2 linked regions of the Xenopus tropicalis genome follow. The main gene of each other region encodes a partner of the protein of the gene in region 2 in a complex. Links are inferred from orthologs where the notes say so. Each region holds a gene or a part of one and is shown on either strand. Other genes may lie near its edges.

The links.
Region 1: lsm5 (region 2) and lsm6 share a complex: the UniProt entries of both Homo sapiens proteins name them as parts of the precatalytic spliceosome. The link is inferred for Xenopus tropicalis from reciprocal best matches to the Homo sapiens genes LSM5 and LSM6.

The regions. Positions count from the first base shown.
Region 1 is NC_030677.2:58,331,802-58,343,474, forward strand, and holds the start of lsm6 (U6 snRNA-associated Sm-like protein LSm6), read right to left. Parts: upstream 5,624-11,673; 5' UTR 5,537-5,623; exon of another isoform or gene 5,360-5,536; intron 3,953-5,359; exon of another isoform or gene 3,766-3,952; intron 3,172-3,765; 5' UTR 3,157-3,171; coding exon 3,063-3,156; intron 2,454-3,062; coding exon 2,340-2,453; intron 223-2,339; coding exon 188-222; 3' UTR 1-187. UniProt on the Homo sapiens protein: Plays a role in pre-mRNA splicing as component of the U4/U6-U5 tri-snRNP complex that is involved in spliceosome assembly, and as component of the precatalytic spliceosome (spliceosome B complex).
Region 2 is NC_030682.2:61,889,257-61,900,748, reverse strand, and holds the start of lsm5 (U6 snRNA-associated Sm-like protein LSm5), read left to right. Parts: upstream 1-4,424; 5' UTR 4,425-4,541; coding exon 4,542-4,587; intron 4,588-6,514; coding exon 6,515-6,610; intron 6,611-8,591; coding exon 8,592-8,619; intron 8,620-11,492. Other genes in the region: late secretory pathway protein AVL9 homolog, read right to left, coding at 796-903. UniProt on the Homo sapiens protein: Plays a role in pre-mRNA splicing as component of the U4/U6-U5 tri-snRNP complex that is involved in spliceosome assembly, and as component of the precatalytic spliceosome (spliceosome B complex).

The sequences.
Region 1 (11,673 bases), on a different chromosome or scaffold from region 2:
CCAAAATGTTTATCAAACTTTATGAAAAAGTGTTTTTCTTTTCAAAATGTATTTAGCAATGCAACTTCATCTTAAGTCTCAAACATAAATGTATAGACCTTGATCTTCTGAAGTCCAAAATGCTGCGCTCTTAATGCAAAGAACATAATATAATTAAAAATGAAAAGTAAATTAAAAAAAACACAGGTCACATCCTCCTCTTCTGAGTGCTAATATACAAAACTGCAAAGAGAAAAAAAAAATTCACATAAACAATCACTTCCATGTCTTGTTTTTCTGCAATTCTATCAATTCAGCCACAAATACAGTTAAGACCTAAAGGTTAAATACACCTATGCTAAAGATGTTTTAACTAAATACTAGCAAAGTCATCTTTACCATAGGTGTATGTCAACTTAAGGATTCAACTGTAGGTGGGACATTTATATAAAGGTATGTATTTTGTGTGGTATAGAATGTTTTTAAACTATGTCTATAATACAAATTTTATTCGTAGATGTCTAATACAGTCTGCATTCCAGTTAGAGGAAAAAACAGTATTGCACAAGAAATATCCACTTGTAAGTGCTATGATGCCCGAACCAGAGTTCCTGGTGAGGGAAGCCATCTTGGGGCCCATGTATACCCATGATGAGAAAACACCCTTTATATCATTAATAGGATAACTTTCTTAACGTAAATTAAAATTCGGAAATAATCATGTTACTTTTCACTCTGCCCCTCTCAGCAACCTCTTTTCTTTATGCAGAAGTCAGAGAAGGCAGTTAGGTCTAACACCTTTTTTTTTGGGGGGGGGGGGGGGGCCTCTTTACTAGCAGACGTGTGTTACTTTTGGAAGAGTCAGCTTGAATACCTCTTCTAAGGAAAGGGTGCAACCACCCCAAAGAACATATTAGACCTGTCAATCAAAACCTGACTCCACCTACTGCATGAAGAGAGAATAAAGAAAGGCAGGTGATGAGTGGGGGAGTGAAGAGTAACTTGGTTATTTCACAAACATGACAATTTTTACATGATTATATTTAGAAAGTTTTGTTATTTCAGATAGATACATCTTATATTGAAAATGTATTTTCCATACACTACAAACACTGGCTGACAAAGTATCAATACTATGCAGTGTATAGAGTTCTAGTCATTATCTTTCAGGTTAACAAAGCACTGGATTTCAACAGGAAGCCAGCAGTAGCTTCCTGATCTGCAGAAAAGGGATGGATGAGTGAAAATGTAATCTGTTCCTCTATGATTAAGGGTGAAGACACACTGAGCTACTAGTAGCAGTTACAAAAATAGACAATACTGATCATTTACAGATAATTGTCTCTACGTATGTTTTAGCAAAGGAAATTCTCAGTATTGTCTATGGCAGGGTATATTTTGGCGTTAAGTAGCCATGACAAGTAGCTGCTACTAAGTAGCTTTGTGTGTCTTCACCCTTAAGGTGTTCATCTGCCAGGGTTTTTTTTTAGCTAGTGAAGTAGCACCTTAAGCTACAACTGCTGTTTCTGATTGACTACCAGGGTCCACCTGAAATAAATAATCACAAAAAATGCAATACAATACAGACAATACAGCATTTTCAAATCAAGAACTGCCAGAACCTGTGCTACCAGCAAGTTTGCCTTACAGCCAATGAGACACAGCAGGCCAGGTTTCAGCAAAAAAATACCCAAGTACATATTAAAGTTAGAATTAAACTCCAAACTGTAAACTCTATAGAGTATAAAAGCAAAGAATTGTTTGACTTAAAGCTATAACCTTTTTAGGTCATAAAACTATTAAATAAGTGAAAAGGTGTTCCATTTTATGTGTTTATATTAGACCTTACTAAACCAAACACACAACAAGCCAGTATTTTTACTGTACTATTCTTATGCTGCTTTCCCAGAGATCGCATCTAAGAAAGCATTAGGGAGTACTGGACACAAAATGCAAATCTGTGAGATGCAGGCTTCATATGTGTATAATAAATATCCAGCAATCTTTTTAAATATAAAAAAGTAGGAACGGTTACTTAACAGCCCAATAACAAGTATTTGTCCTTGGGATTTGAGGGTCACAAACAAAATTGAAGGTTATTCTGGTTGATTTTACAGCTATCAAAGGGAATACAAGTCTTTAAATTAAAAGGTGCAACTAAGGAATAACAGGTTTACTGGGTGCTACTGCGTGTACAGCAGTTTTATTACACTGAAGAAATGCCTGGCCAGTTACAGAGTTTCTTTCAGGGTTCAATAGCAATGTTCCACATCACACTTTTTACTGAGCAATTACATTTAAAACATTTTTTTATATATTTAAAAAGCAGGACTCAAATTCTTTTGAACCACCATTATTACCATTATTTCCTCGGATAAATGCATCCCCATACTTGTTCTTCAGCTGTCCATTCACATACTCTTCTGTTTGTTCCAAAGCAATATTCATGTAACCATCTAAACATGCCAGAACACCTATATGTGGTGTAGATAAAAAGAAAAATACAAAAAACAATATAATCAGATAGATATCAGTAGTAAATATAGATGGAAAAGCACATAACTGTTGCAAAGACCTCTGGATATTTTCCTTGATTTGCTTTTCTTAGATAATTAGCCTATAACAATAGCCTTTTTAAAGGGTAACTAAAGGCCCCAATGAACACATGTATGGTTAATGCATTTGGCAATGTTACCAAACAAAAAGCAAGTTAACTGGCACCTGGAAAAGTAAAAGGGCAGCAGTTCTGGGTATAAATTTGTTGCACATGGCTGGCAAAAGAGCTCTACCTATTAATACTAAATAAAGAGGCCAATGATAATTAAGTTCTTGCGCCCATTTAGGAAGAATACGACCCAAACGTAACCCTGATTTGCATATTTAAATTTAAGCAGCATCTGTGGGAAAATGTATTGCTTTGGAATGTGCAAACTTTGAAGTGAGGGAAAATACGTATTATAACATGGACATGAAACAGAGCCAGAATGAATTTGTAAAAATACATTTTTCATAATCCTCATTCCAAATGTTGATAAAAGATAGATATAAAAGGAATTCAGGTTGCCTTTTACTTTAAGCTTTACCTCGATAATCGACTCCAGAGTTGAGCTTTACAACCACTGGTCTTCCAATAATCTGCTTTAAGAAGTCACTCGGTGTTTGTTTGCGCAGGCTCATTCTAATTCCCTTTCACTGTAAAGAAAGGTTTCAAGACAAAATAATTCTCTTATTGTTATATAGTGCCAACATATTCCTCAGTGCTTTACAGATATTATATATTATTCACATTTTCAGACCAGCATTTTTATATCAGTTGCAGTTGGTCATTATTGTCAGTTTGATGATTTAACAGCACAGATTAGTGCATTAGAACTGGCAAATCTGCACTATGATATGGTATACAAATAGACTGCCGCTTTGGTCCAGAATTCACAGCAAACATTGTGGAGTATAAGTCCTATTTTAAAGAATATAAACTCTACAAACACTAAACTCTAAAAGAAGCAGGCTAGAAATGTTAAACTTTAGTTTTCTATTAAACTATTCCACCAAATTTAACCAACAGCAATGACAATCCATTCGCCTGCAGTTGGTTAGAAATATCTTCGTCTTAACTAGCCTTTAAAAGGAAAGCCAGGAAAGCACTATAAGAGATGTGTTCTAAAAAATCAGAAGACAAAGCAGTTAAAACAGGGTTAAATCACAGCTAACTGGAGGCTCTGTATTCCTCAGTGTCTACAGCAGAATAAGGAGTGGGCACTATTGATGTGCGGGCTGGCCCAATACCTGCAGGTCAGGCCGACCTTGGCACATCACCTGCGGGTCGCGGGTGGGCTTCGGGTTGAGTGCTTCCGGTCAGCCTCCATGACCGAGACCTAACAATGCTGATATTCCGATTCCAGCTTGGGAATTTATAGGTGCGCGCCCGACATGCCCCACCCCTTCGTGATGTCATTGCGGGGAGGGTCGGGAGTAGGTCTATAAATAAAGGGAAGAAGCTGGGTCGGGTAGGGTTGGGAGCAGGCGGGTTAAGATTGGGTATTTCTGTGTTGGTAAAAGTTTCATGTTTGCTTCAGTAAGACTATATAGTTTATATAAATAAGCTGTTGTGTAGCCATGGGGGCAGCCATTCAAGCTAGAAAAAAGGAGAAAAGGCACAGGTTACATAACAGATGCACGCTTTAGAATGGTACAATGGTAATCTACACAATTTATCTGTTATCTGCTATGTAACCTGTGTCTTTTCTTCTTATTTTCAATTTGTACAGCTACCCCCATGGTTACACAGCAGCTTTGTTTATATAAACTATATTCGGGTTTCTGAAGGAAACACACAATGTTTACCAGTGTAGGGCACTAGTACATTATATTTTAATTACTTTTATATGCTTTCATTTTTTGTGTTACTGTTCCGAGGATTTATGTACCGACTCCACAGTCCTCAAATTCCCTGATATATTATTGTATTTATCAAAGGTTTTTATTCAGTGTCTCTTATCATTTCTAAGAAATACTGTGCTTCCTCAGCCTAAACGTTTCCTACTACAGGTATAGGACCAGTTATCCAGAATGCTAGCGACCAAGGGTATTCCGGATAAGGGGTCTTTCTGTAACGTGGATCTTCATACCTTAAGTCTACTTAAAAAAACAATAAAACATTAATTAAACCCAATAGGATTGTTTTGTATCCAATAAGGATTAATTATATCTTAGTTGGGATCAAATACAAGGTACTGTTTTATTATTACAGAGAAAAAGGGAATCAATTTAAAAAATCTGAATTATTTGATTAAAATGGAGTCTATGGGAGAGGGGCTTTCCGTAATTCGGAGCTTTCTGGATAATGGGTCTCCGGATAAAGGATCCCATACCTGTACAAACATATCCACCATGGTGTCTGTCAGCAGTCTGATACAAATGTGACTCATGCTGGTATCAGCCAATTAGAGCAGAGGAAATCTGTCAGTGACAGCCTCAAGCATGTTGGTTACTGCCAGAATAAAATATTAAGTGGAAAAGCTCACTGATAACATAGATATATTAGGGCTTACATACATTAGGGCTAGAGCCCAACACTGACACACTGTAGCTGGGCTTAAACTTACAAATGATTCTAAATCTATAAGTAAGAAGCTCCATCCCTCTGATGTAGCAGGGAGATCTATACAGCCCCTGTGAGAGGAGCTCTCATGTACTTGGCACTGAGCCCCTCTAGTACAGCCTGCTGGTAATCAGTATATTGCTCAGGAATTACAATACCCACCTGCCGGGAGCAATACAAATATGTATCAAGAAAAGGGTGCCTGTAGCAAATCTACTTCGAAACATTATAGCTGAACAATACATAATACAATCCCAATGTAATGCAGCGGCCACACACCTGGGATGAACTACAACTCCCAGAATTCGCTTCGCATAGACACCGCGGGAGCCACACATTTAGGTTAATTATTGTTGTTACCTACTTTTCTCTGAACGTAATGAGCACTAACCATACTAGATGGTGTGCATCAATGCAAATACTACAGGCGGCCATAAGCCACCCTGTAATTCTCACCCTGTATCCCGTGCGATGCCTTTTCTCCCGCCTCTCTCCTTCCTACCCCTTTTTACGGTGTCCGTCTCAGGACAATCCAAAAACAAGCGAAAGCCGTGTGCGCCGTACGGAAGTAAATCGGGTTCCTGAATGAGGCACCGCCTACCGGGGGTCAAAAGGGGACGATGACGTTAACACGGGAAATGATGCGTCCAATCAGGGCGAGAGGCGGCGCTGTGGCTCCTCTGCACCTCTTGTATGTAGTAATGGCTGGGATATCCTGTATGTTTCATGGCTTTGAATCCCTGCACCATGCCATTATAAGTCATTCTAGTAAAGAAACCTCGCCTCCAACTTTAAAAACGTGTTCTGATTCAGCATTACTCTTACTTGCTAAACGTAATACATTTCTTTGAGTTGACGCAAATGTATACGTATTTTTATTTTACATATATTTATTTTTGTATCTATTTTATACAGGCACATGCACTTTACTTATGGTAAGCTACTTTGATTTTCTGAAACTTCCCATATAATCCTTTCTGATTGAAGGGTCAGTTTACTTTAATCAGCCACACAAAATGTCACTAGCATCAAAAATGATTACTAATACTGATAAGCTGTGTGTGGCATGACATTATTCAATTGGAGCCTGGTATTATTCATCTGAAATCTTTACTGATTCATTACCTGCTGTACACCATGTATTTGCAAATATCCTTATTAAAGTGGTGAATGTCATGGCACCTAATGGTCCCTGTACACGGGCCAATTCTAGCAGCTAATCAGCCCGTGTATGGGCACTACCGATGGGCCTGCCCGACCAATATCTGGCCTGAAATTGGGCCAGATATCGATCGGGCAGGTTAAAAAATCTAGTTGGATCGGGGACCGTATCAGCTCGTTGATGCGGTCCCTGGAACGACTTCACCTATACCCGTCTTTATAATGCGATCGTTTGGCCCCAGGGAATTAGCCTGGATTCTCCCCATATCGCCCACACGTAGGTGGGGGATATTGGGAGAAGATCTGCTCGCTTGGCGACATCACCAAGCGAGCGGATCTGAAGGTGTGTGGGCACCTTAAGAAATATATGTGCAGTCACCAAGAGGCCAGTGACTGACACCAAATTGGAAATCCTGCAAATTGTTTATAAGCATGGTGTGGGGGAAGCTCACTCACTCCTCTAAATTGTCACTTTATACCTGTCTTTATTGCTGTTTAGGTCTTCTCTGCTTATAACTATAAACAATTATACAATATTTTTTTTTTTTTGTTTTCATTCATTTGGTAATTGCTGGGTAACTAGCTTTCACATCCAGAACTTGAATCTGCCCTGCAACTGCCATGAACCCACCCATGCAAACATAGGGGATGAGGAGACGCTCTGTGAGCGTAACTGTTTAAGATTCCTCGGAAGGAATTAAAATGTACAAAAATGAAAATAACTAATATGATATGCAAATAAATGAATTAATTAATTTAATAGCTAGCCAAATAAGCAAAGAATAAGCGAACTTGGCAGCTAAATAAATAATCTGCTCACCAACTTGTATTTAGAAATATGAAAGTAAGGTAAATACCAAGTAATCAATTTGACTCGGGTGTTCAAACCCCGAGTCAATCGCTTAAGGTTCAAATATTCAAATGTTCATCTCAGGTGATTCAGAAACAGAGGAATCAAAATGCTCACCAAAGTCCCATAATGGTCCGGGTGCTCAAAGCCCCGAACCCGCAGCTGAAGGGAGATATCTCCAAATCTAGAAATAGGACGTCAAGCACTCCGGACTCAAAAGGATCTGCTAAAACTCGAACTTTATTCCATCATGTTTAAAAGCTTTTAAACATGATGGAATAAAGTTCGAGTTTTAGCAGATCCTTTTGAGTCCGGAGTGCTTGACACCCATGCAAACATGTCAACTCACCTGCATTTTTGGGAAATCACCCTGATTTAAACTGGTTACCAGCAGAAATAGCCCAGTCACCCGCTGTAAAAAATATGCACTTAAATCTCCGCTTAACTTCATTTCATATAAAATAAGCACCATATTTGTTTTGTGTTGTGGAGTATATACCAATGAAGGAACTTGTATTCATATGTTTAATGCGTCATGACCAGCGACAATTCTGGGGCTGCTGCCTAGTGATGTGCAGGTCGAGAACATTTTTTCTGACCCCATCCTGATAAAGACCTGTGCCTGCCCCGCAATGACATCACCAAAGGGTGGGGCGGGTGCTATAAATTAAGAAGCCAGAAGACACAGGCCGGCAGGTTATGGAGCGAGCCGAAGCACTCAACCAGAACCCGCATGTGATGTACCCAACCTGCCCAACCCGCGAGTATCCAGCCAGCCCACACATCACTACTGCTACCGCCTGAGGCAGCACCCGCTCCGTGCTTATGACTTTAGCATCAGAGCGGGTCCAAAGGGGGCCTCATCACTACTGCAGAGAGCACTATTGCACTCTCAGCATTAAAAAATGAATTTTATCTTTTTCTGCCCCTGGTAACTGGCCGCACCCTGCCATCTGGGGCAAGGTTCTCACCATGCCTCATGGTAGGAGCGGCCCTGGTCATGACTTGAGAGAAACTAAAGAAAGTATGTTATCTTAACTCATGTTAACTGATTTAATGCATTTAACCTTTTCAAGAGCATACAATACCACCATTGTTCACATGAGGCCTAAGAAAAAACTCCTTAATTAGATAAGTTGCTGTGATGCAATTTTCTGTGTTAAATGGGCTAAGTTAAACAAGTGTAGTTATTCTGTGTTAAACACACAAACCAAAGTGGTTTCATCTGTATATATAACTGGTACAACATTCCTCTTGCAAGGTGTTCAGGAAGGAATTGTATGTGAAATTGTCACTGTTTGTATTCAACTATTTGTTAGGTGGTATAGTGTTATACATGGAACTTGCCTTGGGATACTATACATGCAAGCTGGTCTAATGATGAGCAACTTCAATATTGTGCTCCCAAGGATACACATTATAGAAACATATGAGATTGTGCCTTACCTCATAGATATGTCAACTCATTTTGCAAGTATGGCCATATTTTAAAGGGAACCTGTCACTCAGGCATAAAAAGCTGTATAATAAAAGTTCTTTTTAAATTAAACATGAAACCCAAATTCTTTTTTTTTATTAACACACACATACCCATTATAAAGGCATTTAAAAATCCCAGATGTCAATAATATATTGCCAGCTGTGCCTCTATGCCCTAGGTATAGAGGCAGGGCAGACAGTTACATTCACTTTACATTCAGCATTTTCTAGATGTAACTGCACTCCTCAAATCCCCCACCCTTCTTACCATCTAATTGTGCAGCCAGTGCATGGGCATGGGTATCAGATCTGGCACATAAACAAGATTATGGTATTATACAAAACTTGCCTTCCACAAAATGGCACCTACCTGTTTTCTGTGAATTCCAAAACTGAAGGAAACATTATTCTAGTATTTATATAGTGTAAGTGAAGTTTATTGTGCTTGACAAACACAATAGAAAAGAAATTGGAGTTATTTTTTATGGTGACAGGTCCATTTTAACCCCCCTCACCTTCAGTAGGAGCCCAGTCACCCGCTGTCAGTAATTTGCATCCAAATTCCAATTTACTATCATCATGAAATGAAGTGTCACATGAATGGGGTATATCTGTGCAAACAGAGTTGAACATGGGTACCTATGTTACCTGACTCAAGAGCCCACCATCCAGCCACTGCCACTTCCCTCTCCATCCCCAGCCATTGACAGTCCTGCGGCTGGCTTGTGGGCTGGTGGCAGGGCCCAACAGGGTCAGGGCCCACAAGCATTTTTGCCGGTGGGCCAGTCGGACCCAGTGTACAAATAACTTAAGAACAGTAAAATATTGTAATTAATATAATAAACTATATAGGTCTGCTCATTAACTACAAGTCCTTATTCATGGAGTCCCTTTAATCAACTATTTGTTGTCTGGCCTACCTTTGGGTCCAGGGTTCTTACTGAGACCCCCTGTCTCCAGCAGCACATGCTTTCTTCATAGAGAAAGGACTATGGTATCCCTTCCCTTTTATAGACTAGAGAATAGCCATTACACCCCTTATCCATTACAAACATATTCATCCCACAAAGCTTTGGGTACACTCTCTAGGCTATGTCCCACACAAAAAGGGGAACTTGCATCCAGTGGCATAACTACCCCCCTCCAAAAATATTCAGGGCAGCCTGGGGCATAGCCACGCAAACACTGCACCACCACCTGCTGCTCCTTTACTTTCGACATGCAGCAAACTATTGCATTGGTTTGTGGGATTACAGGCCCTGCAGGCAGAGCCTCCCACACCTGGGTCTGCTGTATTGTAGTTAAGCCGCTGGTTAAATCCTTTATAATATAATAAAAAAATACTTAGTAGATTTTTCATTTTAACATATTTTTCTTTTTTTTATAATTTGTTATTGGATTCAAACTAAGATTTGTAGTGCAGAAATAAAGGAGTAACAAATGAAATGACGAGCTATACAATCTAATCTAACCAAATAGGGGTCTAACCCCTGTAAAATTAATTATAAGAAGGCATTTTTCATCCTGAGGAGTAGTTACTGTCCCCAAATAGATATCCTTGAGAGAAGGGTACCTGTTAGGGAAGCTCAAGTGACGCTGCAATGACAGCAACTTCTCTGGGCAACTGTGATAAAAAGCAATGAGTGTCAAAATGGGAAAATAATCAATTGCAACCAGGGTCGGACTGTGGGGTGAAGGGCCCACCGGGGCTCCTGTCCCAGGGACCCTGCAGGTGCCCCCAGCCAGGCGCGTCCCCTAACCCCCCCCGAAGGGTCCCTCCTAACCCCCCTCGCAGGGACCCCCTAACCCCCCACCCGACGTCCTCCTCCAAGCGCGTAAAGTTGACGCGTCGGAGGAGGAGCGGTCAGGAGGCGGAGTACCGGCAAGGGTTCGGGTCTGGGCTGCCTGGGCCCACTGGGATTATTCCCGGTGTCCCGGCGGCCCAGTCCGACCCTGATTGCAACTGAAAAACTGCAAATATGAAACTGTGGCCTTTGCCTTTGAATTTCAGGCCACTCATATTATTTCTTTTTGTGACATAAGAACAGAATCCCATTTTATCCCTGTTGGTGTGATCCATTGTTGCTAGTGCAAGTCTCTCTGTTGGAAGCAGTGCTAGTGGTTGAACAACCCCAGTTCAGTATGAAATAGTTAATACAACAAGGAAGCAGATTTATGGCCCCCCCAAATCAAGTTTTTAGTTACTTCATAGACACATAAAAACAAAGAGAACAGAATGCATCTATCCTGTCCATAAAATCCATCTAACAGACAGAAGCCTTTCTCAAATCATGTGATAAATATAACAGACATTTTTTTTTTAACTTTAATGCCCCTTACATTATTTAAGAATTTCGTGTGCATTGGGGTACAATAATCCTTTTTCATCTTTATAGATCAGTGGTGTCAGTATGAAGCTGCCCTTGTGTTATAATCAAGATGAACTTGCAAGGTGAATGTTATAAGTAATAGAAATTATTTATAATTTAGTAATAAAAGTTTATGTCTCAGGCACTTCAGATTCCCCACATCTGCTGTGCGCCAGCCTTGAGTTGCCAGACAATTGCAGTTGCCTTTAAATGAAAGGTCATAAACTGGAATGATAGAGTTCATAGCTCTTCCTAACTCTCACAATCTCTCTGCTTATATCTTTTCCTCCGGCATTAAAGCTCACACACACGGCCTTTGTCAAATTTCTTCTAAATATTGTAAAAGTAAGGGACAATTGCTCTCTCTTTCATGCTCTTGCCTTAATGGCATTCAGACCCCTCAATGAACAGGTAAATAAAACTTTATGATTAACTTTAAAATCCAAAGTAATATTTATAGTCTTTTCTTAGAAGCTACAAGCGTGAATCACATTTGAGTACAGGCACTTTCAGTGACTTTAATGGCTCTGTGTGATAACTCCTCAGATTTATTTTCGATAAGTTAATTCTAAAGACACTTTACTTTTGATGGACCCTTTTAAATTTCTATTAAGATGTTATGTTTTACATAATTTATGTTGCGTTCTTGACAATTAGCCTGTTAAACTATTCTGCTTTCCTTTGCAGTTTTAAACACTGTCCCTTCTAAAGACTTCCTACTGGAGTGTATTACT
Region 2 (11,492 bases):
TGTACCAGGGTAAGGGTGGCATGTTACCAAGTAAATTTAAAAAAAAAAAAAAGCATAACCCCAAATAAATAACAGTACAACATGCAAAGTAAATGTTAGAAAACCAGGAGTATGTGATCTGTCTTATACACTACATGAGATTATGGAGTCATGGATATTTTTGACTAATAAGTTAGGGGAGCACTGCTAGAAAGGCTGCAGGCATACTTTTTGCTCACAGTATTTTCACATACTAACACCTAGGGGCAGATTTATGCGAGTTTAAAAAATGTGAGTTTAGAGCTTAAAATACATAAAAACTCACCCACATTCTATTCATTCCTATGGGATTTTTAGAAGCATATTTATTAATGGGTGAAAGTTAGAGTTCAACATTTGATAAACATGCTTCTAAAAATCCCATAGGAATGAATAGAACATGGGGGAGTTACATGTACTTAGCTATAAACTTAATAAATCTGCCCCCTATAGTGATAATGCTTCTTGCTCGGGAGTCACCTATTATCTGTACCTATTATCTGTACCTATTATCTGTACCTATTATCTGTACCTATTATCTGTACTAGAATGAAAGCAGCTGTTAAACTACGATTAGTAGACTACAAACCAGTATAGGTAGTAAATATAAAAGAGCTACTGCTGTTAAGGATGTGAAATACACAGGTGTTTCAACTGTTTTGCAATTCAGACATGCACCACGAAAGCTATTAAAAAGTGACAAATAATACATTCTAGTGTCAATCCTGTGAGAGGGTTAAAGTGTTATATACAGAAAGAAGCCATTGCATTCCTCACCTGGCAGCCCTTCTTGTGGTGGAAGCCCACCACCACTATGTGCAGTACAGGTCCCCCTGGCACCCTGTTGCCGCCCCCAGCAGCCTCCTCCGCAGCCTGGGCATCCATGCGTGGGGTTAGTGCCGGAGATGTCAGGAAACGCTCTGCTGTGCCCCCCGCTTGCTTGCCGTTCCTGCGGAGGCTGTGAGGATTGTCAGCACAGAACTCCCCTGGAACAAGTCGCGGACATACTATAATCCGGGTCCAGACAGCAAAGGAATACCGCAGCGGGGGTATGCAACGCCTGGGGATAGCCTCTCAGTTTAAAAGTCAACTCCCCTAGCGCTTTCTTCCCAGCATTCACTCTTATCTGGTTCCCTTATCTTTTCCGCGTCCAGCCTCTCCCTTTGTTGCTGATTTCCCTGCCAGGATCTCCTCCTTCTCCTAAGGCAGATGCTCACTCCCTTCCCCACTCTCTTTTGCTTCCTACCCAGTGTCTCAGGCTCCTCTCTGCAGTCAGATGTCACTGTCAGCCCCGGCGTGACATCACCGCCATGGCTACCTAGCCTAACCCACTCGAACAACAAGCGTGACTCGTCATCGCCAAGTAGTGTGCTGATTGGCTGTTGTGTAGGATTGGAAAGCAGAGCTATGGCAGATTGAGGTCATGGTTTAGCTCCAGAAGATGCCTGGAACTGGAAGAGCTGGATCCGTGCGGCTATGCACTATAAGGAACCAATCAACACGATATTATATTTTTAACAGTACTGTTAAACCGCGTTTGGGCAAAGTAGCATTTTGGCTAGAAAAAGCTGCTCAGTAAAGGTCCAGTAAAGTTACAACATATATTAAATCCTATAATTTTTTATTTGCAGTGTATAAGCTGGGTTAAAGGAGAAGGAAAGTCATTTTGGCATGTTACTGCCAATAGATTTTCCCAATTAGTGCCACCTATAATGCTATATTTATTCTACAGAAAACCTAGAAGCTGTCTCTGTTTGTTTAAGATTGCAGCTGCCATTTTAGCTTGGTCTTTATAGCTTCCTGCTTGCAATTTAGCCTATAGCTTAGATCAGGGTTCCCCAACCGCCGGGCCGCGGACGGCATGGCAGTGGGCCGCAGCGCACCCCCCCAGCACATCGCATGTATTACGCGCCTGAAGTTCGCGCCATGGCCCGCCCCCTCTGCAAAAATATTTTTGCCTCCTACCGGGCCATGGTACTAAAAAGTTTGGGGACCCCTGGCTTAGATTACACATTCCTAAGGGAGGGAGGAGGAACTTTTTGGCATTCTTATGGGAGGGGGGAGCAGAAGAGGGGACAGATGAGAGAACTGCACAGACTCTGGCCCCAGGAATGAAGGATTGTTCTGAGAGAGAAAGTCAGATACCCTAAGAACACATTTACAAAAAAGAGACAAAACCCTGTGTTCTTTTGATAGACCAGACTAAAATGGCAGCTTCTATCATAAACAATGGGAGGGAGCTTCCAGGGCTGTTTACTCAGGTATGGTAAAGTTTTCTGCAGAATAAATATAGTGTTCTAGCTTGCACTAATGTGGCTAATCTATTGGCAGTAAAATGCCAAAATGACTTTCCTTCTCCTTTAAGGAACAACCACTGTTCCAGCCTATTTAAAAACCTGCACACTTTAGAGCATTTTCCACACCCACTACAGTCACCAAACCAAAAGTAGTGTTTAGTTAAAACAAGACTTAGACAATTATTCAGGAATATACAAGACAAGGTGGTAAGTCTCTAACTAATATAACCTGTTTTCTTGTAAATTTTTTTTTTACATAATAGATCTGTTGTGTGTCCCTTAAGTAATTCAAGATATTCAGAACCAAATGTTGTATATACAAATTTAAAAAGGACTGTATACACCCTTTATCATCATTAGTTCAAACACACCTCAGAGAACTCTAAAGGTGGCCATACATGTAAAGATCTGCTCGCCTGGTGAGGTCGCCAAGTGAGCGGATCTTCTCCTGATATCCCACCTACGGGTGGGCGATATCAGGGGAATTATAACGACTGGAATAGGTGCAGTCGGTTCGGGGACAATTTCTAGGACAGATATCGGTCGTGCAGGCCAGTCGTTGTTAACCCTACACGGGCTGATAAGTTGCCGTATCGGTCCAAGGGACTGATATCTGTAGCTACAATCGGCCCGTGTATGGCCACCTTAAGAGCTAAATCCTACCAGTGCTTTTTATCAGATTTTGTGGGTCATATTTTATCTGATCTTGTCATGCAACGCCACACAATGCAATGCAACAGCACAAGATTTTTTAGGACCCTACAAAATCTAATCTGCATAGGCTGTAATTTTAATGTCAGATCAGATAAAGTTGGATTTTTATTTTGTTCATGCACTTACATCTGACAGTCAATGTATTACATTGAGAGAAAAAGAAGTCTTTCCAACACCATCAGTTTTTATCCTTGTGGCTGCAGGAGCAGCATGCAGCATTCCCTTCCGACAGACGTGGTGTTGGATGGCAAAAGTTACTACCTCACGTTTTTGTATCAGTCATTATATTTTGACCCACGTGATTACCAATCCACAGGTAAGCCCTTGACATAATTATTTGCTCTTTATCTCAAAGCTTAAAAAAGGCAGCAGTTGAGAAAAACTAAATGAAGGCTTAGGTAAACAGAAGGTTTCTAAGTGATCTTAGCAGGAAGTTGGGAACTGGTTCTGGAAATTTCAGAATGTTAGGTTTCAAAACATTGAGTTTTAGTAAGCAAATGACACACTGTCACTCTACATGCAGAAATCTTGAAATTAGGTAGAAGTTTTAATGACAGTTACAAAAACTAAACTTTTTTGTAGCAGCAGAGACTTTGAATGAATCATGCTGAATTTTTAAAGTTTAAATACAAGTAGTTAAAAAAAAGGTGACTAATATCAATCATCTATGGCCCTCAACACTATGCTCATGTAATGTGCAGGAACCAAGCAAACTGTGCAGTTGTTCAACACCTTGGAGGGCAGGCAAGCAGCATAATGCCTCTAAAGTACAGTATCAAGGGGTGGCTTACAAATTCTTGTCCTCTAAGATAAAACAATATTTATGAGTTTTGTAATTGAACACTACCCTACAAAAAATTAAAACAGAAATATATAATTTTCTGGATAAAGTATATCCCCTATAAATGCTAATGTTTAGGTACAGAAGTGACTGCAATCCTTTCCCCTTTTAGTTAAACAAAACACAGGCCAGAGGTACTTTCATGCCTCCTAAGAGCTGATTCAAGCTGAGCACCTGCTACATACAAAAACATCTGAAAAAGTTCTATACTTCGAATGTACTCGTCTAAGTTGGCACCTGGGCCCCCGTAATTTGTTCTGTATTGATCGGGGCTCCTATTAATTTACCTAAACGTGAGTGGTTGAAGTGGATGGTTAATATGCTGTACAGAGTCCAGAGCTGCTGGTTATTCTACATCTGACAAAATACCCGGCCAATTAGCAATCGCAATGAAGCCAAGCCGATTTTTTGAACATTCATTATTCTGGCGCAACAACAACTTTTGCAATCATTGCTTTGAAACATTCTTCTAGCCACGCCCACGTCCCCTGTTCGCTCTCTTCCGCCATATAAGGCCTTTTTCTGCTCGTCTGTTGATTAATCTTCCCTAACCAGGAAGTTTTTAGCGCTTGCGCTCGACTGCATAATGAGATCGGCAATCGATTGCTCTAGGTAGGTGACAGCGGGAGATTACGAAAACAGGAGGAAATCCGAAGTAAGGAATATCAAAGATGGCGGCTACCGTGACTCCCAATCCGTCGCAGCTTCTCCCGCTCGGTAAGGACTCTAGGAAATATGTGACTAGATCTATTCCAGTTCGAGACCTTTAGTGTGCAGTTACTAATTGGCTTTTATCTTCAATGGCGCTGTCCTATTTCATGCGACATGCTTTCTTTGAACTCATATTTGTTGTAGAATTCTGATATGTATGTGGCTTACTAGGGTTGTGAAGTACAGATGTAGTGTACCTGGAGTTAGCACTGTTGCTTGGGTTAAACAGCACCTGCTAGGTGACGTGCTTTAGGTTATCGGGCAAATGATGGAGCCGCATGGCAGCCCTGCGTTAGACAATTTATATTTTATACTGAACCTTTTAATTGTAAGCAGATAAAAAAAGAACAGAATTATTTTCTAGTTGATTTTTAGTTTACCTAGGAAAACTGTACATCATTCTTTTCTTGAGAACCTGAGCTCTAAATCTGAGTTTTTGTGTATTTCCACTTCTGGAACAAGATTTAGAGCTCTAAAGGCAAATAAAAGAAAAAAAAAAAAATATGATTATAGGGATTTATACCAGAAAAATCTTTTATTTTATGGATAAAATTTCAACTTATTCAGAAAGCCTAATATCTCTTGAATGTGCCTATACTAGGTATGTATAATTTTATGGAGATGTCTGACTTCTATAGATCGAAAACTCCCAGCAGTAAGTTATTGAAAAAAGTGTTACAGCAGAATAGGGCATACTTTAGATTCCATAGCCAAAAATCCTGAAACATTAGGTTTACCCCAGGATACCATTTATATTTTTTAAAAGTGCACATTCAACCAAATCCGAAATAGATAACCGTGTCTTTCTACTCTAAATGACTCCAAGGGGCTGATTTACTAATCCACGAACGGTCCGAAAGTGTCCGAATGCGTTTTTTTCGTAATGGTCTGTATTTTGCGATTTTTTTCGTAAATTGTCGCGACTTTTTCGTAGCCGTTACGACTGTTTCGCAAATTGTTGTGACTTTTTCGTTGCGTTACGACTTGCGCGAATTGTCACAACTTTTTCGTAGCCTTCGCGCCGAGTACGAAAGTTTCGGATTCATTCAAGCTTCAGTATCGTGACTTTTCTTGGGCCAGGTTGGAGCTGCAGAGTCCTATGGGAGGCTTCCAAAATCATGCTAAGTCTGAAAGTTTTGCCCGCAGTTTACGAGCGCTCAATACGAAAAAGTCGCGACAAGATACGAGCAAATCGTAACGGCTACGAAAAAGTCATGACAATTTGCGCAAGTCGTAACGGCTACGAAAAAGTTGCGACAATTTACGAAAAAGTCGTAACGGCGACGAAAAAATCGCAAAAAATACGAAAAAGTTGCAAAATGTTCGTTTTCCAATCGGAATTTTTCCCATTTGGATTCGTGGGTTAGTAAATCAGCCCCCAAGTGTCCGAGATGAAATAGAAATGTTCATCTCTGATACTGGCTGCTGCAATAGAAGCACCCGGTATGTGTATTATGTACCATAAGACGTCCTAACAATACGGAGCCCCTCGAAAACCGTATATTTTCCGAAAGTACATATTTTTATTAAGGCAAAAATGGCTAAATACATCTTTCTACTGCAAACTACCAAACAAAACTATGCTTTTTTTCTTTTTTTTTTTTTTTATTCCTGAAGGTTTAAATCAGTGGTTTTCAGACTTAGGTTTAGTCGCCCTCTTTCCTTTCAGTTATGCAGCTTAAGATCCAAGTACATTCAAATACATTTTTATACTAAAATGTGCTTTTAGTCTGAAGTTCAAAAAATATTTGACAGGCGATAAGTATTTACCACCACAATTTAGAAACCTTTGATTGTTCAAGTTTTACTTTCAAACCTAATTAATATATACACAATGTAAAATTATTTTTTGTATTTTAACATGTATTTTTACTTTATTTTTGCCTTATTTTAAAGTGTATTCTTAATTTTTTTTTTATTTCTGATCTTGCAGAGCTTGTGGACAAGTGCATAGGATCTCGCATTCATATTGTTATGAAGAGTGATAAAGAAATTGTTGGAACACTTCTTGGCTTTGATGATTTTGTCAGTATCCTTTGTCTGCTTACGCTTAGTTTTTTGTTTATTGCTTCAGTTATACTAATTTAGAATGTACCAAAATAAAATACCGATTTACCATCAGCAATAGACTCCATTCAGCATTCTAGATCAGCGTTTTTCAACCACTGTTTGTGCCGCGAGATGTTGCCTGGTGTGCCGTAGGCAGGGCCGCAATTTTTACTTTAAAAAAAAAATCCGGGCCCTGTCATTGGTTGCGCCCCGTGTGTACGGGTGACGTCAGTACGCACGGGGCGCAACGTTATAAAAGGGCCTGTGTGCGGTCGCGTGTAGGCAGAAGTGCAGAGGCGGCGCGCGTGAGGGGAAGATGCTGCTGAAGCCGCCGAAGAGTAAAATGCTGCTGGGCACCAATGTATTAGGGGGGGCCACGGGGCACACTGACTTATGGGGGCACTGCTGCTGGGCACCAATGTACTAGGGGGGCACTGCTGCTGGGCACCAATGTACTAGGGGGGCACTGCTGCTGGGCACCAATGTACTAGGGGGGCACTGCTGCTGGGCACCAATGTACTAGGGGGGCACTGCTGCTGGGCACCAATGTACTAGGGGGGCACTGCTGCTGGGCACCAATGTACTAGGGGGGCACTGCTGCTGGGCACCAATGTACTAGGGGGGCACTGCTGCTGGGCACCAATGTACTAGGGGGGCACTGCTGCTGGGCACCAATGTACTAGGGGGGCACTGCTCTTGGCACCAATGTACTAGGGGGGCACTGCTGCTGGGCACCAATGTACTAGGGGGGCACTGCTCTTGGCACCAATGTACTAGGGGGGCACTGCTGCTGGGCACCAGTGTACTAGGGGGGCACTGCTCTTGGCACCAGTGTACTAGGGGGGCACTGCTGCTGGGCACCAATGTACTAGGGGGGCACTGCTCTTGGCACCAATGTACTAGGGGGGCACTGCTCTTGGCACCAATGTTCTAGGGGGGCACTGCTCTTGGCACCAATGTACTAGGGGGGCACTGCTGCTGGGCACCAGTGTACTAGGGGGGCACTGCTCTTGGCACCAATGTACTAGGGGGGCACTGCTCTTGGCACCAATGTACTAGGGGGGCACTGCTGCTGGGCACCAGTGTACTAGGGGGGCACTGCTCTTGGCACCAATGTACTAGGGGGGCACTGCTCTTGGCACCAATGTACTAGGGGGGCACTGCTCTTGGCACCAATGTACTAGGGGGGCACTGCTGCTGGGCACCAGTGTACTAGGGGGGCACTGCTCTTGGCACCAGTGTACTAGGGGGGCACTGCTGCTGGGCACCAATGTACTAGGGGGGCACTGCTCTTGGCACCAATGTACTAGGGGGGCACTGCTCTTGGCACCAATGTACTAGGGGGGCACTGCTGCTGGGCACCAGTGTACTAGGGGGGCACTGCTCTTGGCACCAATGTACTAGGGGGGCACTGCTCTTGGCACCAATGTACTAGGGGGGCACTGCTCTTGGCACCAATGTACTAGGGGGGCACTGCTGCTGGGCACAGAGTTAAATTTTTTAACATTTTCTAATGGTGGTGTGCCTCGTGATTTTTTTCATGAAACAAGTGTGCCTTTGCCCAAAAAAGGTTGAAAAACACTGTTCTAGATGTTATAGTACAACATTCTTTAGTTTTCTACTATCGGCTCAACTGGGAGTTGAAGTTTTGCATTGTCAAAAGCACATACTTATGTATCAGCAGAATGGGATTAAACACTGGCTGGGACTGTGTCTTGCTCTCAGTTCCTCTGTGATTTGTGCTTTTTGCCATCTGTGCATGGGCAAATTGACCTGAGGGCCAAAGCTGGAAAGTGTACAATCAACAGCTAAGTTAGCCAGAGTACTTTATAGGCTTACTGGGGATCTTTGTCATAGATTTTAATGGCATAAAATAGCATTCTTCCGCATCTGTGCTTCTTCATAGTTTTTCCTCAAACCACATAGAACCTCATACTTTTAACCTTGATTCATTTCTTCAGACATGGTGCTAGAAGATGTTACAGAATTGTAAGTACCGTTCCGTCTGGATACAGATTTTTTTTATTCTATTTGCACTTGCTCAAGAACTTCTTTACCAAGATACAGTAATTTTTATACCAAGCAGTGCATTGTTTCATTCTTGAGATCTGTCGAATAAAAATAATATTCATTTTATTTGCATTTTACATACAGGTATGGGGCCTTTTATCCAGAATGCTCGGGACCTGGGGTTTTCTGGATAAGGGGTCTTTCGTAATTTAGATCCCCTTAACTTAAGTCTACTAAAAATCATTGAAATATTTAATAAACCCAATAGGATTGTTTTGCCTCCAATAAGGATTAATTATATCTTAGTTGGGATCAAGTACAAGGTACTGTTTTATAATAACAGAGAAGAAAGTAATCATTTTTAAAAATTAGAACGGGTTTCCTCTAAATATGGAAGTACATTTTCTAAAATATGAATCTGCATATAATAACTTGACACTAACTTTGACTAAATAAGACAAACAGTAAAGAATGATCAAATTGTGACCCCACTACTGATTTCTATCATATTGTCACTAATCTGTAAACCTGTATCACTGTATATAGTCTAGCAATTTGAGAATTGTATAAAGTAGAAGCAATGTACCCTGTGATATTAACAAGAGAAAATTCTTGAAAGATATGTAACAGAATATTTTTTTCTGTTTAAAATCAATAAAAATCATTTATATATAAAAAAAAAAAAAAATTAGAAAGGGTTTCCAGATAAGGGATCCCATACCTGTATTGTGTTTGGTGATAACAAAAGTGCTTTACTTGGTAATTAAAAACTGGTTGATATTTTTACTTTTTTAAGAAGTTACCATGTAGAACGTTTTATATAGATGTTTTTTAACGTAAATTTTTTTGCTTTTCATTTAAATTCCTGCATTGTGCTGGTTTACATGTCCATGTCTGTCGTTTTTATGTAACTGAAGTAAGTCTGGAGGCATATGTTCTCAAAGACATACTACAATTCCAGATATCGAAAGGGCTTTATTTCTAATTATTTATCATAACTGATGTATATGCATATCTGTACACCTGTTTTTGCAGCGAATAACTTTAAAGTTAAAACAACCAGATTAGAACTGAAATTCCCCTTTAAATAGACAATAAAAAAAAGATGCTGCTTCAGTCAAAATATTCATAGTAGATGCATCAACCTTTAGTGGATATCAATTGTGGTTTTCTGTTACTGTGCATGTACAGTGGTGTGAAAAACTATTTGCCTCCTTCCTGATTTCTTATTCTTCTGCATGTTTGTCACACTTAAATGTTTCTGCTCATCAAAAACCGTTAACTATTAGTCAAAGATAACATAATTGAACACAAAATGCAGTTTTTAAATGAAGGTTTACGTTATTAAGGGAGAAAAAAAGCTCCAAATCTACATGGCCCTGTGTGAAAAAGTGATTGCCCCAAGAGCGCAGAGACAACTCATCCGAGAGGCCACAAAAGACCCCAGGACAACATCTAAAGAACTGCAGGCCTCACTTGCCTCAATTAAGGTCAGTGTTCACGACTCCACCATAAGAAAGAGACTGGGCAAAAACGGCCTGCATGGCAGATTTCCAAGGCGCAAACCACTTTTAAGCAAAAAGAACATTAAGGCTCGTCTCAATTTTGCTAAAAAAACATCTCAATGATTGCCAAGACTTTTGGGAAAATACCTTGTGGACCGACGAGACAAAAGTTGAACTTTTTGGAAGGTGCGTGTCCTGTTACATCTGGCGTAAAAGTAACACAGCATTTCAGAAAAAGAACATCATACCAACAGTAAAATATGGGGGTGGTAGTGTGATGGTCTGGGGTTGTTTTGCTGCTTCAGGACCTGGAAGGCTTGCTGTGATAGATGGAACCATGAATTCTACTGTCTACCAAAAAATCCTGTAGGAGAATGTCCGGCCATCTGTTCTTCAACTCAAGCTGAAGCGATCTTGGGTGCTGCAGCAGGACAATGACCCAAAACACACCAGCAAATCCACCTCTGAATGGCTGAAGAAAAACAAAATGAAGACTTTGGAGTGGCCTAGTCAAAGTCCTGACCTGAATCCTATTGAGATGTTGTGGCATGACCTTAAAAAGGCGGTTCATGCTAGAAAACCCTCAAATAAAGCTGAATTACAACAATTCTGCAAAGATGAGTGGGCCAAAATTCCTCCAGAGCGCTGTAAAAGACTCGTTGCAAGTTATCACAAACGCTTGATTGCAGTTATTGCTGCTAAGGGTGGCCCAACCAGTTATTAGGTTCAGGGGGCAATTACTTTTTCACACAGGGCCATGTAGGTTTGTTTTTTTTTTTCTCCCTAAATAATAAAAACCCTCATATAAAAACTGCATTTTGTGTTTACTTGTGTTGTCTTTGACTAATAGTTAAATGTGTTTGATGATCAGAAACATTTTGTGTGACAAACATGCAAAAGAATAAGAAATCAGGAAGGGGGCAAATAGTTTTTCACACCACTGTATAACTGGTCAGCAGAGGAAAAAAAGAGCATATCAGTTGTTACTAATCTTTACAAATGGAATTATGCAAAGTAGAGTGCTGTAAAGAAAGATTAACTTTTCCCTCAGTCTTTATAGTCTAAGTAAAATAATACTAATGTAAAACTTATTTCATAAAACACATAATAATATCAGTCCAAAGTTGCCTATATACTGGAAGATTCACGCTGACATGATTTTGCAACTGACCTCATTTATATTCGACAGATACCCAATCAACAAGGAAGCTGTTGTAGGCCAATATATGGGTGAATAAGGGACTACGTCTACAGTTATTTTCTGCCTGTGAAAGGGCAACTTAATGTAACTGTATTGTATTTATCAATATAGCACCAAAAATATATGCAAGACACACAGGAATATTT